Macaca fascicularis: one gene and its partners. The protein of the gene in region 5 interacts with the protein of the main gene of each other region in a biochemical or structural test. Links are inferred from orthologs where the notes say so. Each region holds a gene or a part of one and is shown on either strand. Other genes may lie near its edges. The genes, in order: LEF1, ERBIN, SMURF2, SKI, SMAD3, NEDD9 and TFE3.

Region 1 (4,274 bases), on a different chromosome or scaffold from region 5:
GTAGTAGTTATTAGTAGGTGAAGTTTTAAGTGCTCACTTAGATACAGCATTGTTAAAATCTTTACCCATTCAATATTCAGCAGCCTGAAATTTCACCTTTAGGAAAATAAGAGGAATCTTTGCTAGACCATTCCTATATAACAGAGCAAAATCTGATTCTGTAGTGTTTTCCTTATTTTCAATTTAAGGGAGATGAAGATACATTTCTTTATGTCCTTTGTTTACTGTTCTGAAGTTTTACAGATGGCTACTGTATTGGATATAATAATTTTGCCTAGATTTTTAACAGAGGGGGTTTGAGAACCAAGGGACAAAATGTAATGTGTTTTCAAACTTCAGCTTCCCTTCTGCTGTAACTTTCACAAAGTATCTCCTGAAAACTCCTGTCTTTGTACAAAATGCATCAAAGACATAGTGGAGACTGGGGAATTTTTGAGGTTGTATTCGGATTTGCATCTTCAAGGGTTCCTTTCAGCTCGCAGTCCAAGGTGCCAGGGACTACCCCGTCCTCCCTCCCTCTTTTGGCTTTGCTCTCCCGAGTCCTTTTGCCTTCTCTTCCCCCTTCTTGGATTATCTTTTCATTCTCGATGAGGTTCCCACACACTGCGGTGTGTGTCTTTGAAAACCCACGAGAGACCTAGCACAACTCTCCGTACATCCCGTGGTGAGGACAGAATGAAAGAGATATTGTTTAAAAAGCAATAATTAAAATCTAGTCTTCAGTTCCTTCTTCCTCGTCATATTTTTTCTCGGTAAGCCTGGAGATTTTATTTTCACTAGCGTGTTCCCTTGTTTCCAAAGAGCGTGTGTATGATATTATATTCGGGAAAGCCACAACTCTCTTTTCCTTGTCCTTCTGTTCTCTCTTAATAGTTGAGCAATGTCTGTTATATTTTTCCCTTTTCCTTCTTTTCTCAGTCCCAGATTCCCGCCTCTCCCCACTGTCAGAGCATCTATCAATGTGGTGTCGATCACAGCGGCGGCGGCTTTCTCTTTCATCTTCCTCCCCCGGCCAGAGCGAGGGAGGGAGAGTGGGAGGCGTCAAGGAGGTAGGGGAGAGACTGGCAGAGGAAAAGGAGTGGGTGGGTGGGGGCCAAGAAAATAGATACTTAGATGATGAAGTCAAGCCATTGCGGCAATGTTTCTTGTCAATTTCACGCGGGCAAAGCGTGCCTCTCGGTGGGTTATAAGCAGCGCCGGGTCATTCCTTCTCTCGCCAAGTTGCCTGATCCTTCCCTCCAGGCGCGCGCGCACACACACACTCACACACCCCAAAACCAATACTCGTCCTACAGGATCTGGGAAAAGAAAAAGAAAAAAAAGCCCTCAATCACCACCTCCTTCTCGCCGACTCCCCCTCACCCCCCGCCTCCCCTCCAGCGGGCAGCCAAGGAGAGCTGGAGGCGGGGGAGGGGAGAGGGAGGAGAAGCGACGCAAGTGGGTAGCTTTTCAGCGCCGGCTAGGCGCGGGAGGAGGAGAAGCAGTGGGGAGGCGCAGCAGCTCACCTGCGGGGCAGGGCGCGGAGGAGGGACCCGGGCTGCGCGCTCTCGGGCCGAAGAACCAGGACGCGCCCGGAGCCTCGCACGCGGCCAAGCTCGGGGTGTCCCCTCCCCTCGGCTGGGCGAACCCAAGGGGCGCAGCTCTTTGCTTTGACAGAGCTGGCCGACGGAGGCGTGCAGATCCGCGAGCCGGCTAGCCAAGCTGAGAAATTCGAGCCGGGAACAAAGAGGGGTCGGGCTGAGTGTGTGTGTCGGCTCGAGCTCCGGGCAGAAGCATTTGGGCCCGAGGTCCCCGCTGTGACTACCCGAGACTCCGCCGTGCCCTCCACTGCGGAGTCCCCGCGCTTGCCGGCAAAAACTTTATTCTTGGCAAACTTCTCTTTCTCTTCCCCGCCTCCTCGGCCCCCACCTTCTCCTCCTCCTCCTTCTCTAGCAGATTAAATGAGCCTCGAGAAGGAAAACCGAAGCGAAAGGGAAGAAAATAAGAAGCTCTAAAACGGACATCTCCAGCGTGGGTGGCTCTTTTTTCTTTTTCTTTTTTCCCACCCTTCAGGAAGTGGACGTTTCGTTATCTTCTGATCCTTGCACCTTCTTTGCTGGGGCAAACGGGGGCTTTTTGCCCAGACCCCCTCTCTTTTCTCGGCAAACAAACTACTAAGTCGGCATCCGGGGTAACTACAGTGGAGAGGGTGTCCGCGGAGACGCGCCGCCGGACCCTCCTCTGCACTTTGGAGAGTGGTGCTCCCTCCAGAACCGGCGTCCTCCGCGCGCAAATCCCGGCGACGCGGGGGGCGTGGGGTGGCCGCCGGGGCAGCCTAGCCTAGCGCGCGCCGCGCAGACGCCCCCGGAGGCGCCAGCTACCGCGGCCCTCGCCGCCCAGTGCCCTTCGGCCTCGGGGGCGGGCGCCGGCGTCGGTCTCCGCGAAGCGGGAAAGCGCGGCGGCCGCCGGGATTCGGGCGCCGCGGCAGCTGCTCCGGCTGCCGGCCGGCGGCCCCGCGCTCACCCGCCCCGCTTCCGCCTGCTGTCCTCCTGTACGAACCCTTCCAACTCTCCTTTCCTCCCCCACCCTTGAGTTACCCCTCTGTCTTTCCTGCTGTTGCCGCGGGTGCTCCCACAGCGGAGCGGAGATTACAGAGCCGCCGGGATGCCCCAACTCTCCGGAGGAGGTGGCGGCGGCGGGGGGGACCCGGAACTCTGCGCCACTGACGAGATGATCCCCTTCAAGGACGAGGGCGATCCTCAGAAGGAAAAGATCTTCGCCGAGATCAGTCACCCTGAAGAGGAAGGCGATTTAGCTGACATCAAGTCCTCCTTGGTGAACGAGTCTGAAATCATCCCAGCCAGCAACGGACACGAGGTGAGCGGGCCGCTGCCCCAGTTCCGAGAGGCGTGGCGGGTCCCTGGGAAACGCAGAGAGGGAGGAAGGGAGGGAAGGCGCCCGGCCGAGGGTCCCGAGTAGATCCCTCGTTTGTTTTGGGGTGTGTGCGTAGCTGGGGCCCCGGTCCGCATTGCATATATGTGTGTGTGTGTGTGTGTGTGTGTGTGTGTGTGTGTGTGTGTGTGTGTAGAATGGGAGGTAGAGGGGCAGGGAAACTTATTCCAACTGGATCAGTTTAGGGGGTTCGGTGGCTGAACGGTTGGTTCGTGGGCAGGAAAACGTGCCCTTAACCCACAATGTTTCGTCTTCGGTCTTTTTGTTGGGCTGAGGAGTGCCAGGCTTTAAAGCGAGTATGGCTGAATAACGCTACTGAGAAATTCTTCCGTGGGACGGAAAACAAAGTGCACCCGCTATCTTTTGGTAGATGTCTCTGCAAAAGTGCGTTAAACCACCAGAGGCTTAGGTGGAGACGAGCAGAGCCACAGGCAGGAGGAAGGGGAGGCGGGCGTGGGCTGGGGCAGGCGGGGCCGTCCCTACCACCGCCGAGACCGGCCGCAGGGAGCCGGCCGGCCTAGGGGGCGCGCGCCCGGGCTGCGGGGGCGGTGCGGGGTTCAGTCCCTGCGGCCCCAGAGCCTGGGCTGGCAGCTGGGAGCTGTGGGTGCGCCGAGCCGAGCCACCCCAAGCTGTACCGCCCCCAACTCTAGTTTTCTCCAACCGCCATCACTTGGAAACAAACCCACAACTTTTATTTGGGGTTTGGGACCGGATCAGGCCTTAAATCTATGTAAAAGAAAGGCGGAGAAGCGGCGGAAGCCGGACACTAGTCCGGCAGGGCGGAAGGCGCTTTATCGGGTCTTCTGGTCCGCTGCGGGCAATAGAGCTGGTAACCTGAGTAGAGTAAATAGAGACACGTGGGTGCTGGCTGGAGAAAGCGCGGAGCGGGGCCGCGCTGGAGGGCTGTTTGAAGCCTAGTCCAGAGCTGGTAGGGGGCGGATGGACCCTGATACCCGACACTCCACTGGTCACTCTTGTTCCACAACTGGGAAACCTTTCTCTGGAGGAAATCCGGTAGAAAAGTCCTGACACCCGAATGATTTAACCAACGCCTTTTCCCTCCAAAGAAACTTGAAGGATATACCTTTTTTTTTCCCTTAAATGGCATCTTTCTACCCCCAAAAAGAAAGTGTGTGGTTTTGAGGGCGGGGACATTTTGGGTTTTAAACAGCGCGTTTAAGAACATCTCAGATCTGCCTTCTCTATCCCAATGGCAGAGGTGAGTACGCATTTTGAAAGGCTGGGGGCCTGCGTTCAGAGAACAGAAGGGTGTTCTTTACCCGTTGAATCCAGTTTGAGCGGGATGGGGGCGGGAGTAGGGTGCACCTAACCCCGCGTAAAAG
Region 2 (3,500 bases), on a different chromosome or scaffold from region 5:
GGAGCGCTAATTATAAAACAGATTGCAAGTACCACCATTTGCAAAAAAAAAAAAAAAAATCGGGATTTCCATAACACAGAGAATGCATGGACATGCAACCACAGTAGAGTTAAAAATTTCCTGTGACTAAAAAATTAAAAACTGAATCACCAGTAGGAAATGTATAGTCAATGGCTATGACAAGAACAGATCCTGCCGAGCTCATAAAATGCAATTATTGTCTTTTTTGCTTTATAAAAAAGACATTACCTATTTTATTGCATTATTCTCTTAATAAAAACATACTACCACATAGTACCCCCCATCCCCATTCTTTGCTTCCAGATTTTTATAGAAAATAACTGTTTTAATCTGGCCTTGGAAAGTGAACCCACCAGCACCACCTTCACCTACTCACTCTTCAATTCAATATGCACATAGCAAAAGCCAACACTTCAAATCTCTTACCCACATCAAAAAAAAGTAGTTTCAGGAGAAAAACATTAATACCAGTTGAATAAAAATAAGGGCATAAAAGCTATGAGAGAGATAGCTCTGCCATCTGTCTCTGGGCTAAAATCAAGGCTAACTATTGCCTTGCACACAGTTCAGTCATGTATATGAAATCCAAAAATAAACCTACAATCTATACAAAAACAACACAGGTTTGTTTTTGTAGCCTTGATTGCTATGTTTAAAAACCTAACAAGTTTTATATGGTATGAATTCAACAGTCTCCTTTATATTCTGTACAGTGGTTCTTTCCCTCTAACCACAAGTTCCATTACTTCATTAATGTACAAATTTGAACATAATTTTTTGAGTTCTTCTTTATATATAAAAATAGTCAAAATATTAATTTCCCCTGCAAGTATCTTCCAATAAATCTTGCTGTCTTCCCCCCTTTTTTTGTCCACAGTGCTTATGAGGAAACTTCTCGTACAATGATGAGTTCAACTGTATTCTGGAAAGTTTTTAGCAAGGACACTGCTTGTCCATGTTCAATATTTATAAAACTGTAGCCATTAGCCTGGAAGAAAGAGGAAAAATGCTTTTAGGAAAAACATTTTATAGTAATTTATTTGCATTTCTGCCAAGTAGTTCACAAACCTGTAAGAAAATAAGAATCACTTTGGCAACTTAGAATAACATGTAGATTCACAGGCCCTACCCAAACCAAGGAATAAAGTCTCTGAAGATGGGGTCTAGAAATGTGTGTTTTGTCCAACTTTTCAGACAATTCTCATGTAGCAGTTCAATGTTAGGAATCACTAAGAAATAATGTCAGACATGGTGCTGTATAATGCTAATGTGCGTCTGAGGTGACCAAACTGTAGCACAGCAAGGGGCAAGGGCTAGCCTTCCGATTGTCTTGAAGCCATCACATCAAGACCACCATATTTCTTACAATTAAGGTTAATATTTACTGAGGTTCTACTGTGTACCAAATACACAATTCTAAGTGTGTAATATGAATTAGATCCTTTGAGTCTCATAATGCTCAAAAAAGATTCTTTCACCATCTTATTTTAGAGAAGAGAAAGCCCAGGCATGGAGAGGTAAAGTAACTTGCTCGGTCACAAATTGAAACTACAGATTCCCAAATGGTTCAGGAAAATAAACGCGTATAACTGTATGAGTGTATGAGTGAGTGTGACTCTCTCTCTGTGTGTGTGTGTGTGTGTGTATAGACGGAGGGAGAAAAGCAGAAGAAAGAGGAGAATAAACGCTAAAGACAATGTAGCAAATTATGAACAACTGGTGACCAAATGATGTAATATTGGTGTTTATTGTACTATTTTTGTGGCTTTTCTCTAAGCTTGAAATTATTTAAATTTTTTTTTTTAATTAATTTTATTTTTAAAAAGTGTTGGAACCAGAATTTAAACTCGGGAAGTCTGGTTTTCAGAATCTGTACTTTCAGCTACTAGATATTAATGTCTCTCTCTTTTTTTTTTTCTTGGTTTGAGGGTTATTTTTTAGTTCTTTAGTTCTCAACTAAGAACAGTGATGGTAGGGGTAGAAAATGAGAGCTAGACTTGTGTCCTAGGCTTGTCTTCTTCTAAGACTGCAAGTGTTTACGTAAAATGAGTAGCTGAAAGAACAAAGAAAAGGAAGGGACAGGAAAAAATGAGTTTCTCAGATTTAAAAATTTTCTTCTCCATTTCTGAAAGGCCAATAGCCCACATCCAAGAAGTAGTACTCTAATCCCCCTCAAATTAGTAAAAATTAACATTCCTGAGCTTAAACAAAATCCTATGATGTATCAAACTTTTTTTTTTTGAGACTGAGTCTCGCTCTGTCGCCCAGGTTGGAGTAGAGTGGCGTGATCTCAGGTCACTGCAAGCTCCGCCTCCCGGGTTCATGCCATTCTCCTGCCTCAGCCTCCCACGATTTTCAAAGTTGAAGTGAAAACATTTTAAACTATGAAAACATTAGAGTGTTATAAAATGAAAAACAAAGATTTATTTTAATTACCTGAATAATTTTATCACCTGGCTGCAGTAATTTTGATGCTGGTCCTTCAGGCTGTACCCTTGTTACAAATATACCCTTTAATAACAAAAAAAAATTGTTTATTTAACTAAAAACAGTATGTATAAATAACAGAGTACCAAGGAGCAACTTCTCCTCCACACCATGCAAATATTTCAATCACGGTACAAGTTTTCTCCCTGACTTCTCTGAGTAATACTGTAACAAACTAGCTATTTTTACCTCTAGTAATTCTGACTTCAGTGATTTCTCTTGAGAGTAATAAAATTGCTTTTATAGATGTGTGAAAAAGCAATAAGAAAATTAAAGATCACTTGATAATATCACAAACATTCATAGTTTTTGGTTAAATTGTTTTAACTTGAACTGATCAAATTACAAAACAAAAAGGTAAGCAATAGAGTGGGGAATCAAGGTGATGTCTACCTAGATTTACATAAACATCTACTAGATTTTCACTTACATATAAGTATTGAATCAGCAAATAAAACTTTATAGGTGTTTCAAGAATATACAAAGAAAACTTACATCATCATCAGGTCTGAATGGGTTTCCTCTACCCCCGACACCACCTGATATGCTAAATCCAAGTTCTGGATCCTTTTCAACCCTCACTCGAATCTGAGTTAATATGAAAATAAAGGAAACTTACTATTTCAGAAAAAGTTATAATGCCACAACATCTATATTTAAATACTGATGGGTTAAGTCCAAGCAAACATAAACATAAGAATTCATCAAAAATAAACATTTGGTCAGATGAAGTGAAATACAACATAGAATATTATGTTAATGAGTTAGTGAGTTAAAGGCAGAGCTGAGATTATATAAAGCATAGCTCCTAATTTTATTGCTTGTCTTATAAGGATAGGAATCAATTAAAATTGACCCTGTTTTACTTTTTAGACATCATAGATTTTAATGCCATAGTATATAAACACAAAACATGTATATTATTATCAGTTTCCACTTGTGGGACATCTAAATTACACAGTATCTCTGTTTAGTGGCTTGTTTCGTAAGAT
Region 3 (3,500 bases), on a different chromosome or scaffold from region 5:
CCTCAAACCAAAAATGAGAAGAAACAGTAAAAGCCAATAGCAAGTGCTTTTTGATTAAATAATCATTGTTCTCTAGAGGATATAAAAATTCTGGAAGATGTAATTTTACCAATAAAAAATGCACTAAACTACATCTACTGTGTGACTGTATGATTTATAAGTGAATTGCTTTTATTTATCTACCTACCCAAGAAGACCTCTCCATCTCACACATCACAGAACTTACTCATCTGTCAAATTTGTTACCATTTCCAAATCTGGAGAAATGGTTCTCCACTTCAAGAGAGAAGTTACTTAACAACACATCCTTTGGAGGACCATATTTCTGTTTGCTGGGCTAAGGGGACAGAAAAACTGTACAACTGTAAAAATTTTTCTTTGTAATTTTTAATCTCAAAACTGTAGCTGGCAAGACATTAGTACCGTGTGCTGTAAACACGACTGAACCCTGGAGAGTGGGATCCAGGGACTGAGCAGGACACACGAGGTCTTGAAAAGGAGATACTGCTAAGACTTAGGAAATTCTCATTTGTTCTTTCTTTTTTTATTATTTTAAATTTATATTAGATAGAGTTTCGCTCTGTCGCCCAGGCTGGAGTGCAGTGGTGTGATCTCAGCTTACTGCAACCTCCACCTCCCAGGTTCAAGTGGTTCTCCTGCCTCAGCCTTCAAAGCAGCTAGGATTACAGGTGCCTGCCAACACACTTGGCTAATTTTTGTATTTTTAGTAGAGACAAGGTTTCACCATGTTAGCTAGGCTGGTCTCAAACTCTTGACCTCAGCTGATCCACCCACTCTGGCCTCCCAAAATGCTGGGATTACAGGCATGAGCCACCACACCCAGCCTGTTCTTTCATTTTTTAAAGTAGAAATGTAATACATACTTTTTATGCATGTAACAAAAAAACAAACATTAACTATGGAGACAGTAAAATATGAAAGTCCATTCTTTTACCCTCTTTCTCCTCCCTATTTCCAGTCCCATCACCTCCACTCCCTCATCCTAGGCAAAAACTTTATTTGACTGCAGCCTCCTGAACATCTTCAGTATAATTATAAAAAAAAAAAAAAAACCAGCCAGGCACGGTGGCTTACGCTGTAATCCCAACACTTTGGGAGGCCAAGGCAAGCAGATCATGAGGTCAGGAGTTTGAGAACAGCATGGTCAATATGGTGAAACCCCATCTCTGCCAATAATACAAAAATTCGCCGGGTGTGGTGGTGCGCACCTGTACTCCCAGCTACTCGGGAGGCTGAGGCAGGAGAATCACTTGAACCTGGGAGGCAGAGGTTGCAGTGAGCCAAGATTGTGCCACTGCACTCCAGCCTGGGCAACAGAGTGAGACTCTGTCTCAAAGAAAAACAAAAGAAAACAAAAAACAAAACAAAACAAAAAAACATAGACTTTGTTCCTACATAATTCTTGTAAGATTTAGTTTTAAAATATGACAGCTTATGCAGTCTTTCTTTTAAATATCCACATAATATTCTGTTGAATGTATAATATAATCATTCTTCTCTAAAAAGATTTTAGTAGTGTAATTTTTACAAGTAGTATTTAATTGACCATCCTTTCCTGTACTTCTTCAATTACATGTGTGTTTCTGCAGAAGAGTCCTAAACACAGAGCTGCTAAAGGGCATGTACTGCTGGTATCAAACCACTTTCCAGAAAAGCTATGCCAGTGTTCACTCCAATCAAGTGGACCTCATTTTTAAACTAGGAACAATGTTAGTAAGATTTGAGAACATGATCTATACAAAAAAAGTATAGCATGCAAGTTTCTGTGTACATACAGTAAAGTTCAAGTTCAAACTTCCAAAGCTGATTACCACAGTTTTGTTTGGTAGACTTTTTATTTCTCATAAGCCAAATTAGCCCAATACATAAAAATTCCTCAAATTTACTTTATGAAATCTGAAAAACATTTATTTACATTTATCCCTAAACTCACAATGTGCTTGTTTATAAACAGGCTAAATGTTAGTAATATACAGCACAAAAGCCCTTCTGAATTGCCACCTGTGATAGCTACACCACACATGGCCCCATTGCCCACATCTCCTGGTATTCACACCTTTGTACAGCTCCTCTTCCATGATGAAACTGGGCTGGCTGTCTCAGTTTAACCAGAACTAGACAGAAGTCATGTTGGCCAGGACCAGGCTTAGGCCTTAAAAAGATCTAGCAGCTTCTGCTTTTGAGCTTTGGAAAGCTGGCCACCCCATAAGAAGTCTATCAATACAGTGGGTAACATGATTAACCTTCATTACAATGAAGGGACAAACTTTTCAGGGAGAAAGAGTGGCTATGGGGAGAGGGAGTGGTCATGGAGAGAGGGAATGGCCTTTGATATCACAGAGGGAGAACCAAGGAACTCAGCCAACAATGAGAACTAGGACCCAGCCAGTGACCCCAGTCGACAGCCATGCCAGCTAGCCCTCGGCCATTTGAGTTATCCTAGTTATGAGTGAAGAGGCCATCTTGGTGTTGCAGGCCTAGCTGACATCTTGTGGAACAGCAGTGTGTCATCCATGTTGTTCTTTTGCCCAATTTCCTGACCCTTGGAATTGTGAGAAATAATAAAATGGCTGTTCTTAATAAGCCACTAAATTCTGCTGAAGCGGATTTTGTAACACTAAGTAATACTATCTAAATATTTAAATTTGTTCATACTAACATCCTAGAACATTTAAAAAAAATTCAGCCTTGAGAACACAGGAGTGTTTACCTGACATATTCTTTTTTATTTTCTTCATTAACAGGGATACTTTTGCCATTTGGTTTAAGTTCATGCTGAATAATTTCACCATATGCATTATGTTCAACACAGAAGGTATGGTCCAAAACACCTGTAATATCATTCTCACTGGAAAGGAAAGAGGAAGAGATAGGTAACTGGGAAACCTAAAATACAGACCCTATAGATGTATTAACTGGTGAGATAAAACTAAGATCATTTTATAATATGACAAATGTGAGGTCAGATTCAGCTTATGAACTCTTAAACTACCACACTACCTAGTTCTTTCTGGACAGAAAAGTCAAAGAGCTTTAACCTGCATAAACACAGGAAACATTTAACTTCCTGAGTGATGAGAAAGAGCCCTGGTCAAAGCTGGGACTTGCTAGAACCACCAATATAGGACAATTTCAGTTATATTTGGCATTCTGAAGAGCGCTACTCGGTACTGTACTCCAAGGGGCCAAGTGCCTGTGTATCCCTAGTTGAGAAAGCCACTGTATACTTTATAAAAAATAAACATTTCCAGTGTATCTTCATAAAAATAACGACCTCTTGCAAAACAGAATCAGTTCTTAGCTTAAATTCAACAATTAGTTCTTATCTAAAAGTATGGTTCCAACAATCGCCACTTCATTAAAAGCAATGGCAGCAAGAATTTGCTATTCTAACACATGCAGGTTTGGAACAGAATTTACATCACATTGAGGAAATAATCATATAAAGTACTTTTAAAAATAGAATATACTAGTTTTTT
Region 4 (4,177 bases), on a different chromosome or scaffold from region 5:
GGTCCCAGCCTGCGAGGTCTGTCTGCAGCTCTGCCACGAGCATCCGTCCCCAGCCCACAGGTCTGCAGGCAGCTGCCACCTGAGCCCTGGCCTGGCAGGGTCAGAAGCACCCCTGCACACACACACGCACACACACAGGCACACGCACATGCACCCTCCGCAGCCCCCTCCGCGCAGAGGCGACAGTCCCTCGCTTCCATCCACAGCCCCTCCTCCCCACGATCTGACACTCTGCTGGAGGGGCGCCCAGAGAAAACCGGGCTGGAGCATCTATTCACAGATTCAGAAAAAAAAAGTTTGATGCAATAGCTGAATTAATTAGGCCTCCCAAGAATAGCTGAGCCAATGCAGCATTCTGTGTGTGCAATTTAATAAGCCTGGATATTTAAAAGAAAAGTTACACATACTTGGGGAGGTATGCAACGGAAAGTTCCTGAGGACCCCACTGAGTAATTTCGGTGCCTCGTGGCCTGGGAGCTGCCCATGCCGGATCCCGTAGATCCTCCAACTGGCAAACTACAAAGCCAGGCCAGCGGCCTCCCTCCCCGGCGCACCCCTCTGCGTTTCAGAAGGAGAGAAGGAAATGGGTGAGTCCAAAACAAATCCCAAGCCGCCAGTAACTCCAGCATGTGGGCCCAGGGGCCTGCTGACCAGGCCCTCAGCCGGGTGCCAAGTGGCCCTCACCCCACACGGGGCACTCTGGGATTTGGTCCCTGGCAGGCCCAGGGAGACCAACCAGCACAGTGCTGGAGCCGCCCAGTCTCAGGCCCCTGTCGCTGCAGCCTGAACACCTGGCTTCATTTTGTGTCTCTGTCCCAAAACTTCAAGGCAACAAACATGGACCGGGAGCCAGTAACAAAACCAGGCCTCGTCTCGCCCAAGCTCTGTCTCCTGGGGCCCAAGGGCAGGCAGCCCTCCGTCTTCGAGGCTGGGTGCCTTCGGGGTGAGGGCAGTCACCTCCACCCCAACCCCAAGGAAGACCTGGGCCTGAGGCATCCGGCTGGGGCCCAACTGGAGCTAACTTCCCTGACCTCGGAGCAGGCCGCTTTCCCGGGAGCATAGGAGGCCTGTGCCTTCCTATCCTATCTGGGCAAAGGCTATGGGCCTGTGGGCCTTCCCCACACACCAGGCCTAGCCCCCACCCCACCGCCACAGCCCCCACTCCAGGCTCCTCCTGGGGGAAAGGGCAGGAGGGCCTTCCTACTAAACCCTCTGGCCCTGCCAAGGGGAACACTCTGAATTTCCCTAAAACAAAGCAAAGACTTGACACATGGGGCACGGCAGAAACACAGGTCCCAGCCTTTGGAGACCAGAGCCTGTGGCCCAGAAGGGTCCCCCACCGCAAGCACATCCACCCCTGCTCCCAGGCCTGGGGCCACTCACCCGGGGCACCCGCCGCTTGTACTTGTTGCCGTAGTCGAACTTCTCCTTCACGTCGTCCAGGCAGCGACCGAGGCGCGCCTGCTCCTCCTTGCCCGTGTAGTCCTGGCTCAGCAGGATGTAGGCCCGCCAGTTGGCCGAGTCGAAGCCCCAGTGGCAGGTCCGGTTCTCCAGGGCCTTGTGCGAGTGCACCACGAACTTGTGCGGCGGGTACATGAGGCGGCAGTCCAGGCACTGGATGCAGGCGGCGCTCGGGCTGCTGTAGAGCTCCGGCACCAGCAGCCCCTTACACTTGCCGAAGCACTCGTGGTACACGCGGACGCTGCGCTCGCTGAGCTCCAGGCCCAGCGCCAGGCTGGCGGCCAGCTCCTTCTTGCAGGGCGGCGGGTAGGCGCCGCCGTAGAGCAGCGCGTTGCACAGGCGCTCGGCGTCCGTCTTGGTGATGAGCCCGCACGAGGGCGCCGAGAAGGGCAGGATGCCCATGACTTTGAGGATCTCCAGCTGGTCGGCCGTGCAGCGCGAGCAGTAGATGTGGAGCTCGTCGCACACCGAGTTGATCTGCTGCAGCGAGAAGTCGCGCAGCACCGAGTTGAGGATCTGCGGCAGACACAGACGCTTCTCGCCTCCCACCACGAAGCACGAGATGGTCTCGCCTTCTAGCACGGTCTCGCAGCGCTCAGTGGAGCGATCGGACGGCATGAAGAAGGGACCGGGCAGCACGGGCGGCGGCGGCTGGATGGCGGGCAGGTGCAGCACGGGCGGCGGCTCGGTGGCTGCGGGCACCGGCGCCGGCACCGCGGCCGCGCCCGCCTCCTTGGCGCTCTCCTTCTTGTAGGCCTCCTGCGCCCAGCGCGCCGAGAAGGCGGCCGGGCCGCCCAGCGAGCTCATAGAGCTCAGGTGGAACTGCTCCAGCGTCTTCTGCAGCCCCGGGTGCGGCTGGAAGCAGCCGCGGCCGCCTGCCGCCGCCTCCATGGTGCGCTCCGTCTCCCCCGGCCGCTCCCGCTCCCGCGCGCCCGGGCCCCCCCGGCCCCCGCCGCCGCCCCGCGCGCCCCGGCGGCGCCCGCGGCCCCGACCCCGGCCGCCCCCCGCCGCCGGCTCACGGCCGATCACGGCCGCGGCCTCGCCCGGGGGCGCGAAGGGGAAGGCGGGCGGGGCGAAGGGGTCCCGCCGCTGGAGCCCGCCGCCGCCCGGGCCCGGCGCCACATCCACGCGCCCCGCGCCGCGCCCGCCGCCGCCCGGGCCCCCCGCGCGTCCCCCGCGCGCCCCCCGGGCTCTAGGCGCGGGGCATGCCCCGGCGCGCGCCGCCAACGCCAACGCCAACGCTCGCGGGCCCGGGGCTCGCGGGGGGCGCGCGGGCAGGTGCCGGCGCCGCGAGGCGCGAATCGCCGCGGCGGCCGAGGCCGAGGGGCCCGGGAGGAGCGGGGGCGCGGGCGCGGGGCCCGCCGGGCCGTCCTCGCGCGGCGCGCCGCCGCCGCCCCGCTCCTCCCACCGCGCGGCGCCCGCCCGGCTCGTCCCGGCGGCGCTGGCCGGCCGCGTCGCGCCCGCCGCCGGCCCCCGGCCCGCCCGCCCGCCGGCTCCGCGGCCCGCCCGCCCGGCTTCCGGGGCGGCGGAGGCGCCTCTCGCCCGCGGCCCTCAGAGCGCGGCGGCGGCGCGGGGCTCGGGGCGCTCGGCGCACATCCTCCCGGCGGCTCGCTCCGGCTCGGACTGAGCGCCCGGCGCTGAGCTCACGCCGCCGCCGCGCCGCCCCGCCCCGCGCCGCCTGCTCCGCCCCGCGCCGGCCCCGCCCCCCGCGCTGTTTGTTGCCGTGCGTCCGCCTCAGCCCGAGCGCTGGCCAAGAATGTGACCCGCTCCCCAGTCGGGCTCTTCCAGGAACGCGCGCTCCCCGCCCGGACTCGGCCGCGCTCGGCTCCGCTCGCCCGGGACTCGGCCACGCTCGGACCCGCCCTGCCACGACTCGGCTACTCTCGGCCAGGACTCGGCTCCGCTCGGCCATGCTCGACTCCGCTCGGCCCCGCTCGGCCCCGCCCGTCGAAGGCCGCTCGGCGCGGGCGGAGGCGGAGGCGGCGGTGGCGCCCGGGGCCCCCCTTCCGGCCGAGGCCGCTTCCTGCGCGGCTGGGAAGGCGCCCGTCTCGCCGCCGCCGGGGCCCAGAAACCCACAGGCCCCCGCCACGACCGCAAACCAGCTGGGGGAGGCCGGGGGGCCACGCCACGCAGCCGGGGTTCTCCCAGGGTGGGACGCCACACAGCGGGGAGGCCCCGGACGCCTCTGGGGTCCCACACACTACCGGGACGCCACACGGTGACCTGGGGTACCACACACGAGGGGGACAGCGGCCACGCCCAGGGACCCCGCGCCGAGACAGGCACCGCGCCGCGTGACCCTGGCGGCGCAGCCCAGCGGCCCCCGCTGCCCCGTGGCCCGGTGGCCGAGTGTCCACGGCTCCCGCCCGCGCCAGCCCCGCCCCGCCCGACGGCCCCGGGCGGACTGTCCCTGATGCGCGGGCCAGGGGTTTCGGGCCTGAGAGGGGCGGCGTCGGGTGCCCCCGACGCGGCCGGTTTGCCAGCCACCCCGGCCAGGTGGCTTATCAGAATTTCGGTCCCGCGGGTCCCGGCGGGCAGGCCGGCGAGACCCTTGCCCTCCGCCCCAGGGCCTCGGAGCGCTGAGACGGCTTTCGGGGCCAGGTCGGCCCTCCACGCCTGGCCACGCAGTGGGAGAGACCCAAGCCATGGCAGGGCGGGAAGCGGGAAGCCCGGGGCCCCGAAGTTGGACAGTCGGCCAGGTGGTCTCCAGGGGAGG
Region 5 (3,500 bases):
GAAGGACGAGGTCTGCGTGAATCCCTACCACTACCAGAGAGTAGAGACACCAGGTATGCTACCTGGCCCGCCTGTGGGGACAGCAGGTGCTGGGGTCGTCACCTCTCCCCCGACCCCCCCACCCCCCCCGAGGGTCTGTGGTGCACTTGGGGGTGCGGGGACTTTGGTGCTGGTCTGGCATCGACACTGAGCCACCTCTGCTCTGTCTCCCCCGGACAGTTCTACCTCCTGTGTTGGTGCCACGCCACACAGAGATCCCGGCCGAGTTCCCCCCACTGGACGACTACAGCCATTCCATCCCCGAAAACACTAACTTCCCCGCGGGCATCGAGCCCCAGAGCAATATTCCAGGTAGGCACGTGGGCGGCATAGGCTGACCTGGGAGGCAGGGGCAACGGTCAGACATCAGTCCTGTGGCCCCAGTCTCTGCCCCCTGGCCGTCCCCCGTTCATCCCCTCTCTCTGCACAGCTCTGGCCTGAGGGCCCCTGACTCAGAACCACATCCCTGTTGGGAGAGGACCCATGACCTCAGCTCCCCCCTTACTAGTGATGCTTTTTTTGGCATAGAGGAGCAGCGTGACCCTTCCGCCCGGCCTTGGTGCAGTCATTTATTTTGGAAGCGGAAATAGCAACACTGTTTCTCTCACCGCCCATGAGGCCGGGACTGGCGTTCAGTCCCCAGTGGACCGGGGGTCTGCAGAGGCGGGGAGTGAGCTGAGGGCCAGGCAGCAAGTGCGGAGAGCTGGTTCTGTAAATTCGCCTGGGCATCGGGCCTCGGTGAGGGGCCCCAACCTGGGTGGGAATTGAAGGAACTTTGAGTTTTCACTCTGCAGGGAGAAATGGGCTTTGCTGTCAAAGACTGCAAATGTTTTTAGAAGCCCCTCATTTACATGCAAATAATGTGTGAATCACCAGCACTTTCCGACTCCAGGAAAGCTGTGCTTGGCAGCACTTGGGTAGTCACTTTTGCTTGCTGGGGCAGTAATCCTGCTGCGTTCCTCTTAGAGCATGCTAATTTGGACGTGACGTTCATCCTGGGTTAGTTTACTGAGCTGAGGTTGGCTACAGACCTGTGTGCTTGGGTCAGAGTGTTAAGGAGAGACCCACTGTCCAACCTTCTCAGATCCTTTGCGGGTAGCCCTGGCGTCCCAGGGGTAAGTCAACTACTCTGTGTTCAAATAGCAAACTTTGGAGGGCTTCAGTCAGGGTCTGGGGGAGGTTTCAGAGAAGTAGATCGCACTGTGTTTGCGACCATTGAATTTGTAACCTAACTGCTGAGTGAGGACACATCCCCTAGAGACGGTAGAGGGTGGGTCTGAGCCTGCAGGTCTTCAGAGGACAAAGAGGGGTGAGGCAGAGGCAAGTCCAGACGCCTCCCTGGAGGGGGTGGGGCTTAACCCTCACCTTGAAAGACCAGGAGAAGTTAGCCTGGTGGAGGCTCTAGGAGTATACACTTCAGACGTGGGAGTTGGTCCGGTTGTGCGTGAGCAAAGGCAGTTACGATCCAAGTGGGAGTCAGAGGTGGACAGGGGCGAGGACAACAGAACCAAGAGCTGGAACCTCTACTCCGAGACCTGGAACTCCTGCAGCCAGGGACACTAGCATCATGGTGTGCATGTGTGATGTGTTTGCAAAAGGTGTCTCAGAGCCCAGCTGTGAAGGCCTTTTAACGGACCTCCTTCCTTCTCATTCCCAGAGACCCCACCCCCTGGCTACCTGAGTGAAGATGGAGAAACCAGTGACCACCAGATGAACCACAGCATGGACGCAGGTCAGTCATGCAGGCATATGCTCTTATTCTTAACTGATTAGCAGCCGGTGGGTTCAGCCCTTCCATCCCTTCCTGTTCGCCCCCTTCCTCCCTCTCTCCTCTCTCTCTCCAGTATTTGTAGAGCAACCATGATGTGCAAGGGGCAGGGCATAGGAGAGGGTCCGAGCTGCCCACGGATGATGGGGGAGATTGACAGGACAGCCAGCAGTCACTGGGCCATCTCGTGTGTGCCCTCATGGAAGATGCCGCATGGCACCAGGCACACAGCAGGGCCACTTCATCTGGTCTGGGGAGGAACAGCACCTTGCAGTCCAGGTTTTTCCCCACGTTGAGTCTTGGTGATGTGTAGGTGTTAGCCTAGCCAAGCTGTCAGAGTGGGCAAGGGGTGTGCCAGGCAGAGTCATGGGAATTGGGCAATTCTGGGTGCATTCTGAGCCTGGTGCATTCTGGGGACAGTAAGAGCTCGGTGTGTCTGGAGTCCGGAGAGTGTCCAGCCCAGGGAGCTCAGCATGACTGGAGGATACACTCTCTCCAGTGGGGAGAATGATGGGAGGGCCTACCACACAGGGCTCCGGGTGTGATGGACCTTCAAGCTGGCAAGACCACTTGGCATTGAGTCAGGGCTGATGGGAACCACTGCAGGCTGTAAGCAGGGCCTGGGCCTTAGTGAGATGTCACCGGCAGCAGGGTGGAGAGTGGCCTCGATCACCTCAAGAAGTCAGGTGGGAGGCAAGAAAAGACTGAATGGAACTAATGCCTCTTCTGATGACCAGTGGAGACCCCTGAAGCCAGTATTTTTGTGTGACAACCACATGTGATATGTGTGCTCCTGCCGTGAGGGGCAGGCTTTAGTTCTCGCCTGCTACATCTCCAGATGTTTTCCATATCATTTGTTATAGGACCAAATTGGCTCCAGACCAGCAGCTTCTTGAATTGAACCCCAGCTGCCACATAGAATGTGTACTGAGTTGTGTGTGGTTGGGAGAGGGGGAGAAGGGGAGAGGGAGCCACGCAGATGTTCCATTCTGATGGTGGTGGGCATGCCTCATACGCACAGAGCCGCTAGACACAGCGGAGCCACCTGCCCTCGCACACAGCCCAGAAGAGATTGTGCGGTTCCTTCCCCCACCCGCCCCAGACGGAGTCTCCCTCTGTTGCCCAGGCTGGAGTGCAATGGCGTGATCTCAGCTCACTGCAACCTCTGCCTCCTGGGTTCAAGCTATTATCGCGCCTCAGTCTTCTGGGTAGCTGGGATTACAGGCAATGCAGCACCACGCCCAGCTCAGTTTTGTATTTTTAGTAGAGACAGGGTTTCACCATGTTGGCCAGGCTGGTCTCAAACTCCTGACCTCAGGTGATCCGCCCGCCTCAGCCTCCCAAAGTGTGGGATTACACCGCATCCAGCTGAGGTTGTGCAATTCCTGAGAGAACGAAAGAGATTCGCATGTCCGTTGTAGTTGCTGAAATCCAGCCTGGACATCGTGGCACTTTTGGGTTGAGCACACCCGGTGGAACACACCCGCCCGGCGGAGTGGCTAGCAGCGCGAACCAGCTGGAATGCATCGAAGACCTTCCTGTATCCGATGCCAAGAGACGGCTGCAAGCTTGCAGCTCTTCAGTGCAGGCACGGGAAGCAGGCCAGTGGAGCAACATGTCTCCAGCTGCTGTGTGTCTCCCCACTCTGCGCTCCCTCTTCCCCCTCTGCTGCTCTCCGTATTTGCGCAGTGAT
Region 6 (3,977 bases), on a different chromosome or scaffold from region 5:
GGAAGCAGAAGTTGCAGTGAGTCACACTGCACTCTAGCCTGGGTGACAGAGCGAGACTTTGTCTCAAAAAAAATAATAATCATAAACTCACTTTTTAAAAAACTTAAATACATTTATATTTTAAAAGAAATGTTTATACCACTCCTACAAAAAAAAAAAAAAAAAAAAAACAGGCCATTGTGGTTTAATACAAGGTAATCATAAAAAACACGTACAGGAAAATAAAGCCATGTTAATAATTTGTAGCTAGCTACCAGTGCCTGTTGATGGCTCCGAGCCTCAGATGGAGTTTCTCTTTGTTAAAACAGTAAGGAGCCAAGAGTTAGAAAGGCTTTAAGATCAGGCTCAATGTGACTTCATGCTTTGTCTATGCATCTTGTGCTACACAAAATTCTCCTATTTGTGTTTCACACTACAGAAATTTTGATCAAATGAGTTGTGAAGGTGACAGACAAGCAGGACAAAGTGAAGGTCATTTGCAGTAGGACACATCTTTGTGCTGTGTGGGTTTGCATGAAGAAACGTTGAGCCTAAGGTGCTCTCCCTGAGCTGTGCCTGTGCCCTTTCTCCAAGCCAAATCCAGAAGAAGAGAAGGGGGATCCTTGAATGGATATGTGGGAAATCAAAACTCAGAGTCTAAGGTCAAATGGAGATGGAGCTGATCATTGGAGAACAGAGTACTAAACTCTTTAAGTACCTACAGCAGGAGGTGGCTGGTGGTCTTAGCTTGGGTTACCCCGGAAGTAGACCCAATGCAGAGTTCGAGGACACGTAGTTTAAGAAATGATCCCAGGAAGCATTGACGGGGAGTGAAGGAGTATACAGGGAAGGAGAGAAGCCATAAAGGGCCCCACCACTGTGGGCAACTGGAGCTTGATCCCATGTAGATTATTCCACTCAGGACTGAGGGAGCTGAAATATTTACAGCCTTTGAGGAGTTCATTTCTGGGAATTTTCGTCTGTCATTTGGGCAATTGCAGTTGGCCCTATGTGACTTGGAGAAAGCTCTCAGGTCATGAGTTAAAGACTCAGGTTGTCAGCAGCCAGCTCAGTCAGTGAGGCCTGGAGGAGGGAGGCAGGACACTGACTACTTCGGACACCCCTTCTCTGCCAGATGCTTAAATGTTTGCTTTCCAATCTAATCCTTACCACAGCCATTCAATATAGCTCTTTCCCCTTATTTACATGTAGAGGAAGAGACACCAGGAATTACATCATTTGACCCGTACAGCCTGTCCTCTCCTACACCTCTGCTTCTATCTTCCTAGTCTCCTACTTCTTCTTCTTCTTCTTTTTTTTTTTTTTTTGAGACAGGATCTCACTCTGTCACCCAAGCTGGAGTGAAGTGGTGCAATCATAGCTCACTGCAGCCTTGACCTCCTGGGCTCAAGCAATCCTCCCACCTTAGCCTCCTGCAAAGCTGGGACTATAGGCACACACCACTGCGCCCAGCTATCTTGTTTAAGTAGTGACGTACAAAGTGACAGCCACTAAATAGGTGTTAAATAAATTAACCAATTAACAAGAAATGGTGGAGCGCTAGCTGAACACTGATTTCATATCCTTTCTTTTCCACCAACTCTACTCCCCACATTCTTAGAACGGGAATGTCCTTGAAAGTAACCAAGCTTGGAAGAAAACAGAAACAAAGAAGAAAACTATTTGGCTGATTTCCAGGATTCTGCCATGGACAATTGCTCTTTACACCCAATTCTGGGTGAGAAACCAGCTTCTGGGCAGGGGAAGGAGGGCCTCTTTATGCAGGAGTTTAAATGACTAGAGTGCCTACTCTCACTTCTCAACACAAGCAAAGGGAAAAGATTGGTGGCCGATCTCTGCATAGTTTGGAACTACATATAACCCTTTCAGAACGATCGTCCCCTTTGTGATTATAGATGGTCTTCATTTTGAAATAATTTCAGCAAGATGAAAAGGTTGCCTCAAGTCCTTCATGGAAGAAAGGCAATTGAATGAATGAAGGAAGGAAGAAATGAATGAATGGGTTAAGTGAAAGAATAAACATAGAGAAAAGTAAGGATGGAACTCTTGGGTGGCCCACTATGGACAGGGAGAACACAGTGTGCTGTCACTTGTCCTCAGTCCCTTGGAGATGATGCTAATGACTACAGGGATAGGACACACAGAATCCAATTCTCAGTCACCATTTCTAGCCAGTCAGGACTCATGCCCAAAGAGGCTGAAAAGGACGTAAATGATTCTAATCCATCATAAAGAATAAGTGACGGCTCACACCTTGAAGTACTGAAATAATTCAGGAAAAAAAAAAGCTTAGTTGCTGTCAGGTAAGCTCTCTGACAACAGTAAGAAGAGGGGAGGGGCCATGTACTTACGCACCAGGAAGCATCCACCCAGAACAATTTCAAAAGTAGAAATCTTGCGGGTTTGAATGTTGCACTAAAACCAGCACCTCCAGGTCAACTCGGAGACCTGGAGTCACTCATTCCTCTTTTGGGGCACGTGGAGATCCTCCCTGACCCAGTTGAGGGGTGTTCACAGTGGGGAAACACCACCAGATGTCTGGCACCGACTCAGGAAGTAGGAGCCTGAGTGAGTCCCTCCTCTCCCACAGGCCACGGCAAGTGGCTGAGAACTCACCCAAGGGCAGGATGGCACCGTCGATGGATCATTTTGCCTCCCTGACGCTCTGGCCCTGTCTCTGGGCCGGCGGGCGGGAGGTGACAGCTAGTCCTGCTGCAGGCTCATGCTTCCCTCTCCATGCAGCGAGCGGACTTGCTTCTAAAGGCAGCTGTAAGCATTTCCCTACTGAGCCACCACACACGTCGGATGTGAGTGGCGTATGTATATGTGTGTTTTTCCTTCCGGTTGCTGTGAAGTGATGTTGTCTTGGTTCATTTCCTCTCTGTGCCTCTTCTTTTTTTTCTCGGTCACACTTTCTGATTCGCTGAGGACATTGTAGTTTAGGGACAGGTAAGAAAGCTTGTTCTCATCTGGCTTCTTTGCTATTTTTAGAAAGGTGATCTTTAAATTAGTATTGCAAGGAAATTTGTCAAAATGTATTTTTCTGCGTGGCATAAGCTCCCTCCTAGGCTGCACTGAAGCAAAAGTTAGGCATTTCCAAGCCAACTGAATTGGGATTTTATGGTTTTATGGACTTCGTATGTTGCAAAGGGTTCCACTATTAATTGACACAAAACATTCTTTCATAAGACAAGTGTTTATTGAGCTTGTACACTGGAATAGACACTATGCTAGGGGCTAGGTGCTCAAAGAGTTTCCTACTTACAATGTGATATGGAAGCCTAGATCTGTGTATGTGGACGGGAATTTGAAAGCCCACACCTTTTGTCTTCTTCATTCTGTGCTTTCGAGTAGCAGACAAGTGGCTCTGAGACAAGCCTCCTGGGTTTGAATTATAACTCTGCTCTTTAAACACTTCTGGCCTTTCTGTGCCACGGCCTCCTCATCTGTAAAATGGGAACAGTCACAGGAGTGTTGTGAGAATTAAGCAAATTAGTACATGTAAAGCACTCCAAGAGTGCCTGGCACAAATAGAGTAAGCACAATGTAAGTGTTTGCTATGATCATTAGTGGCAACTTTGTATTATTATCAACTGAGATCTTTGCTATTTTCCTACCCTTCCTCATTTTCCACTCCTTGCTCGTGCCTAGCAAATGCCTTGAGGACATAGAGGGTTGAGAGGAAAGAGAGAGAGGTGGTTTGAATAATGGATGTCCCCAAATGATCCTGTGGTGCCTGATGTTTCTGCTCCAACTTGTTCCTGCTCCATCATGAAGACAAAGAAAGGGCCGCCCTTGGTCCCACCCATCAGACTCAGCTCATGTGTGTTGCGCTCTTGTGGCATCTCTTTTGTTGTTGTTCTGTTTTGTTTTAATTTTCTGTAAGACTTCTCTGAAATTCATTTAATTTTAAATGTTTGAGCTTGTTCAAATCTTGCTAAAGAATATTCTGCTCATACAAAGATGCCACACTTAAA
Region 7 (2,620 bases), on a different chromosome or scaffold from region 5:
AGGCTGAGGTAGGTGGATCACCTGAGGTCGGGAGTTTGAGACCAGCCTGACCAACATGGAGAAACCCCATATCTACTAAAAATACAAAAATTAGCTGGGCGTGGTGGTGCATGCCTATAATCGTAGCTACTCAGGAGACTGAGACAGGAGAACTGCTTGAACCCGGGAGGCGGAGGTTGCAGTGAGCCGAGATTGTGCCATTGCACTCCAGCCTAGGCAACAAGAGCAAAACTCCGTGTCAAACAAAACAAAACAAAAAAAGCCCCTATCTCATAGAATTGTGAGGATTGAATAAGTTAGTGAATATAAAGCTCTTGTCACAGTACAGAGCACAAGCTAAAAGTTATGTACGTTAGCAATATTATCCCTGTTAACATTATGATTATTACTTATCATTATCACTATCACCATCATGTGAGTTGGGAAGCCCGGGGATACCCCAAGTATGCCAGGAAGGGAAACCCTGGCCCGCTTTCTCTCTGTCTCCACCTGCAGGAAGCTCTCCCCTACTTCCCCCACCACCATCTCCTCTTTTCAAACCTGAATTCGGAGCTGCAGGCTGCGGTTGGCCTGCTCCAGGGATCGCTGCCGGCTCTCCAGGTCTTTGGAGCGCTGTTGCTCCTTCTGCAGCTTGCGGATATAATCCACAGAGGCCTTCAGGATGGTGCCCTTGTTCCAGCGCATCTCCCTGTGGGGCCCAAGTGGGAGGCAAGTGGGAAATGCCACATGAGGGGTTTCTCAGGAGCTGAGGCGGGGATTGCACCAGGTGGGAACCTCCCACCACATGCCTAGAACTTGAGGCTGGGGTCCTTTAAAGATATGGAGTACCCAGAGGAAAACTTCCCGCCTGGAATCTTCCAACGGTGCCCCATCACACTCCAAACCCTGGAAGCCGTCTCTGACCTGACCCCTTAGGATTCCTCTCTTCCCTATGTCTCTCTGATTGATCTCACTACAGCCACATTGGTATCTCAGTGCTCCTAGAATACGGAAAACCATTCCCATCTCAGGGCATCAATCCCAGCTGTGCCCTCTGCCTTGAATACTCTTACCCCCAGACACCTATGCGGCTCCCTCCCTTGCCTCCTTAGGATCTTTATTCAAACGTTTCCTTGTCAGTTGGGGCCTGCCCTATCCTCACCTTCCTTACCCCAAACTGTAACCCTCTCCAACATTCTCCCATTTTCCTTCCAGTCTTTATTCTTCTCATAACACTCATCATAATGGATCTCATGGATGTTTACTTATTTACTATTTGTCTGCCCCTACTAAAACATCAGTTTCATGAGGTCTGTTTTGTTCCCTCTGGTATTTTTTTTTTTTTTTTTTTGAGACAGAGTCTTGCTCTGTCACCCAGGCTGGAGTGCAGTGGTGCGATCTCAGCTCACTGTCAGCTCAGCCTCCCGGGTTCACGCCATTCTCCTGTCCCAGTCTCCCGAGTAGCTGGGACTACAGGCGCCCACCACCACACCTGGCTAATTTCTTGTATTTTTAGTAGAGCTGGGGTTTCACTGTGTTAGCCAGGATGGTCTCGACCTTCTGACCTCGTGATCTGCCCACCTCGGCCTCCCAAAGTGCTGGGATTATATGCGTGAGCCACCATGCCCAGCCTCCCTCTGGTATCTTTAGGGCCTAATATGGTACCTGGCACAAACCAGAGGCTCAATAAATAAATCTTTCTCTTCTCCTTTTTTTTGGGGGAAGGGGGTGGGGGATGGAGTCTCGCTCTGTCACTCAGGCTGGAGTGCAGTGGCACAATCTCAGCTCACTGTAACTTCCACCTCCCGGGTTCAAGCGATTCTCCTGCCTCAATCTTCTGAGTAGCTGGGATTACAGGCCTGTGCCACCATGCCCCGCTAATTTTTTTTGTATTTTTTATAGAGATGGGGTTTCACCATGTTGGCCAGGCTGGTCTCCAACTCTTGACCTCAAGTGATCCACCCCTCTCGCCTCCTCAAGTGCTGGGATTACAGGTGCCCACCACCATACCCGGCTAATTTTTGTATTTTTAATAGAGATGGGGTTTCAGCATATTGGCCAGGATGGTCTCGATCTCCTGATCTCGTGATCCACCTGCCCTCCCACCGCACCGGCCATCTTTTTTTTTTTTTTTTTTTTGAGACGGAGTCTTGCTCTGTGCCCTAGGCTGGAGTGCAGTGGCGCGATCTCGGCTCACTGCAAGCTCCGCCCCCCCGGTTCACGCCATTCTCCTGCCTCAGCCTCCCGAGTAGCTGGGACTACAGGCACCCGCCACCACGCCCGGCTATTTTTTTTTTTTTTTTTTTTTTGAGACGGAGTCTCGCTCTGTAGCCCAGGCTGGAGTGCAGTGGCCGGATCTCAGCTCACTGCAAGCTCCGCCTCCCGGGTTCACGCCATTCTCCGGCCTCAGCCTCCCGAGTAGCTGGGACTACAGGCGCCTGCCACCTCGCCCGGCTAGTTTTTTGTATTTCTTAGTAGAGACGGGGTTTCACCGTGTTAGCCAGGATGGTCTCGATCTCCTGACATCGTGATCCGCCCGTCTCGGCCTCCCAAAGTGCTGGGATTACAGGCTTGAGCCACCGCGCCCGGCCTAATTTTTTGTATTTTTTTTTTTTTTTTTTTTGAGACGGAGTCTGGCTCT

What was found.
Region 1: the proteins of SMAD3 (region 5) and LEF1 form a complex in vitro, tested with the Homo sapiens proteins (2 studies listed by BioGRID, with this or other methods). The link is inferred for Macaca fascicularis from reciprocal best matches to the Homo sapiens genes SMAD3 and LEF1.
Region 2: the proteins of SMAD3 (region 5) and ERBIN form a complex in vitro, tested with the Homo sapiens proteins (2 studies listed by BioGRID). The link is inferred for Macaca fascicularis from reciprocal best matches to the Homo sapiens genes SMAD3 and ERBIN.
Region 3: the proteins of SMAD3 (region 5) and SMURF2 form a complex in vitro, tested with the Homo sapiens proteins (2 studies listed by BioGRID and IntAct, with this or other methods). The link is inferred for Macaca fascicularis from reciprocal best matches to the Homo sapiens genes SMAD3 and SMURF2.
Region 4: the proteins of SMAD3 (region 5) and SKI form a complex in vitro, tested with the Homo sapiens proteins (8 studies listed by BioGRID and IntAct). The link is inferred for Macaca fascicularis from reciprocal best matches to the Homo sapiens genes SMAD3 and SKI.
Region 6: the proteins of SMAD3 (region 5) and NEDD9 form a complex in vitro, tested with the Homo sapiens proteins (2 studies listed by BioGRID). The link is inferred for Macaca fascicularis from reciprocal best matches to the Homo sapiens genes SMAD3 and NEDD9.
Region 7: the proteins of SMAD3 (region 5) and TFE3 form a complex in vitro, tested with the Homo sapiens proteins (2 studies listed by BioGRID). The link is inferred for Macaca fascicularis from reciprocal best matches to the Homo sapiens genes SMAD3 and TFE3.

What each region holds. Positions count from the first base shown.
Region 1 is NC_088379.1:113,780,145-113,784,418, reverse strand, and holds the start of LEF1 (lymphoid enhancer-binding factor 1), read left to right. Parts: upstream 1-1,474; 5' UTR 1,475-2,643; coding exon 2,644-2,856; intron 2,857-3,330; exon of another isoform or gene 3,331-4,141; coding exon of another isoform or gene 4,142-4,150; intron 4,151-4,274. UniProt on the Homo sapiens protein: Transcription factor that binds DNA in a sequence-specific manner. Participates in the Wnt signaling pathway. Activates transcription of target genes in the presence of CTNNB1 and EP300.
Region 2 is NC_088380.1:71,776,542-71,780,041, reverse strand, and holds part of ERBIN (erbin), read right to left. Parts: intron 3,097-3,500; coding exon 3,004-3,096; intron 2,533-3,003; coding exon 2,458-2,532; intron 1,010-2,457; coding exon 902-1,009; 3' UTR 1-901. UniProt on the Homo sapiens protein: Acts as an adapter for the receptor ERBB2, in epithelia. By binding the unphosphorylated 'Tyr-1248' of receptor ERBB2, it may contribute to stabilize this unphosphorylated state.
Region 3 is NC_088390.1:71,145,891-71,149,390, forward strand, and holds part of SMURF2 (E3 ubiquitin-protein ligase SMURF2), read right to left. Parts: intron 2,870-3,500; coding exon 2,732-2,869; intron 1-2,731. UniProt on the Homo sapiens protein: E3 ubiquitin-protein ligase which accepts ubiquitin from an E2 ubiquitin-conjugating enzyme in the form of a thioester and then directly transfers the ubiquitin to targeted substrates.
Region 4 is NC_088375.1:232,546,674-232,550,850, forward strand, and holds the start of SKI (ski oncogene), read right to left. Parts: upstream 2,801-4,177; 5' UTR 2,353-2,800; coding exon 1,384-2,352; intron 1-1,383. UniProt on the Homo sapiens protein: May play a role in terminal differentiation of skeletal muscle cells but not in the determination of cells to the myogenic lineage. Functions as a repressor of TGF-beta signaling.
Region 5 is NC_088381.1:43,874,575-43,878,074, forward strand, and holds part of SMAD3 (mothers against decapentaplegic homolog 3), read left to right. Parts: coding exon 1-53; intron 54-219; coding exon 220-351; intron 352-1,085; exon of another isoform or gene 1,086-1,154; intron 1,155-1,430; exon of another isoform or gene 1,431-1,609; intron 1,610-1,696; coding exon 1,697-1,771; intron 1,772-3,228; coding exon 3,229-3,408; intron 3,409-3,500. UniProt on the Homo sapiens protein: Receptor-regulated SMAD (R-SMAD) that is an intracellular signal transducer and transcriptional modulator activated by TGF-beta (transforming growth factor) and activin type 1 receptor kinases.
Region 6 is NC_088378.1:161,565,300-161,569,276, reverse strand, and holds the start of NEDD9 (enhancer of filamentation 1), read right to left. Parts: upstream 2,801-3,977; 5' UTR 2,617-2,800; intron 1-2,616. UniProt on the Homo sapiens protein: Scaffolding protein which plays a central coordinating role for tyrosine-kinase-based signaling related to cell adhesion. As a focal adhesion protein, plays a role in embryonic fibroblast migration.
Region 7 is NC_088395.1:49,189,299-49,191,918, forward strand, and holds part of TFE3 (transcription factor E3), read right to left. Parts: intron 689-2,620; coding exon 541-688; intron 1-540. UniProt on the Homo sapiens protein: Transcription factor that acts as a master regulator of lysosomal biogenesis and immune response.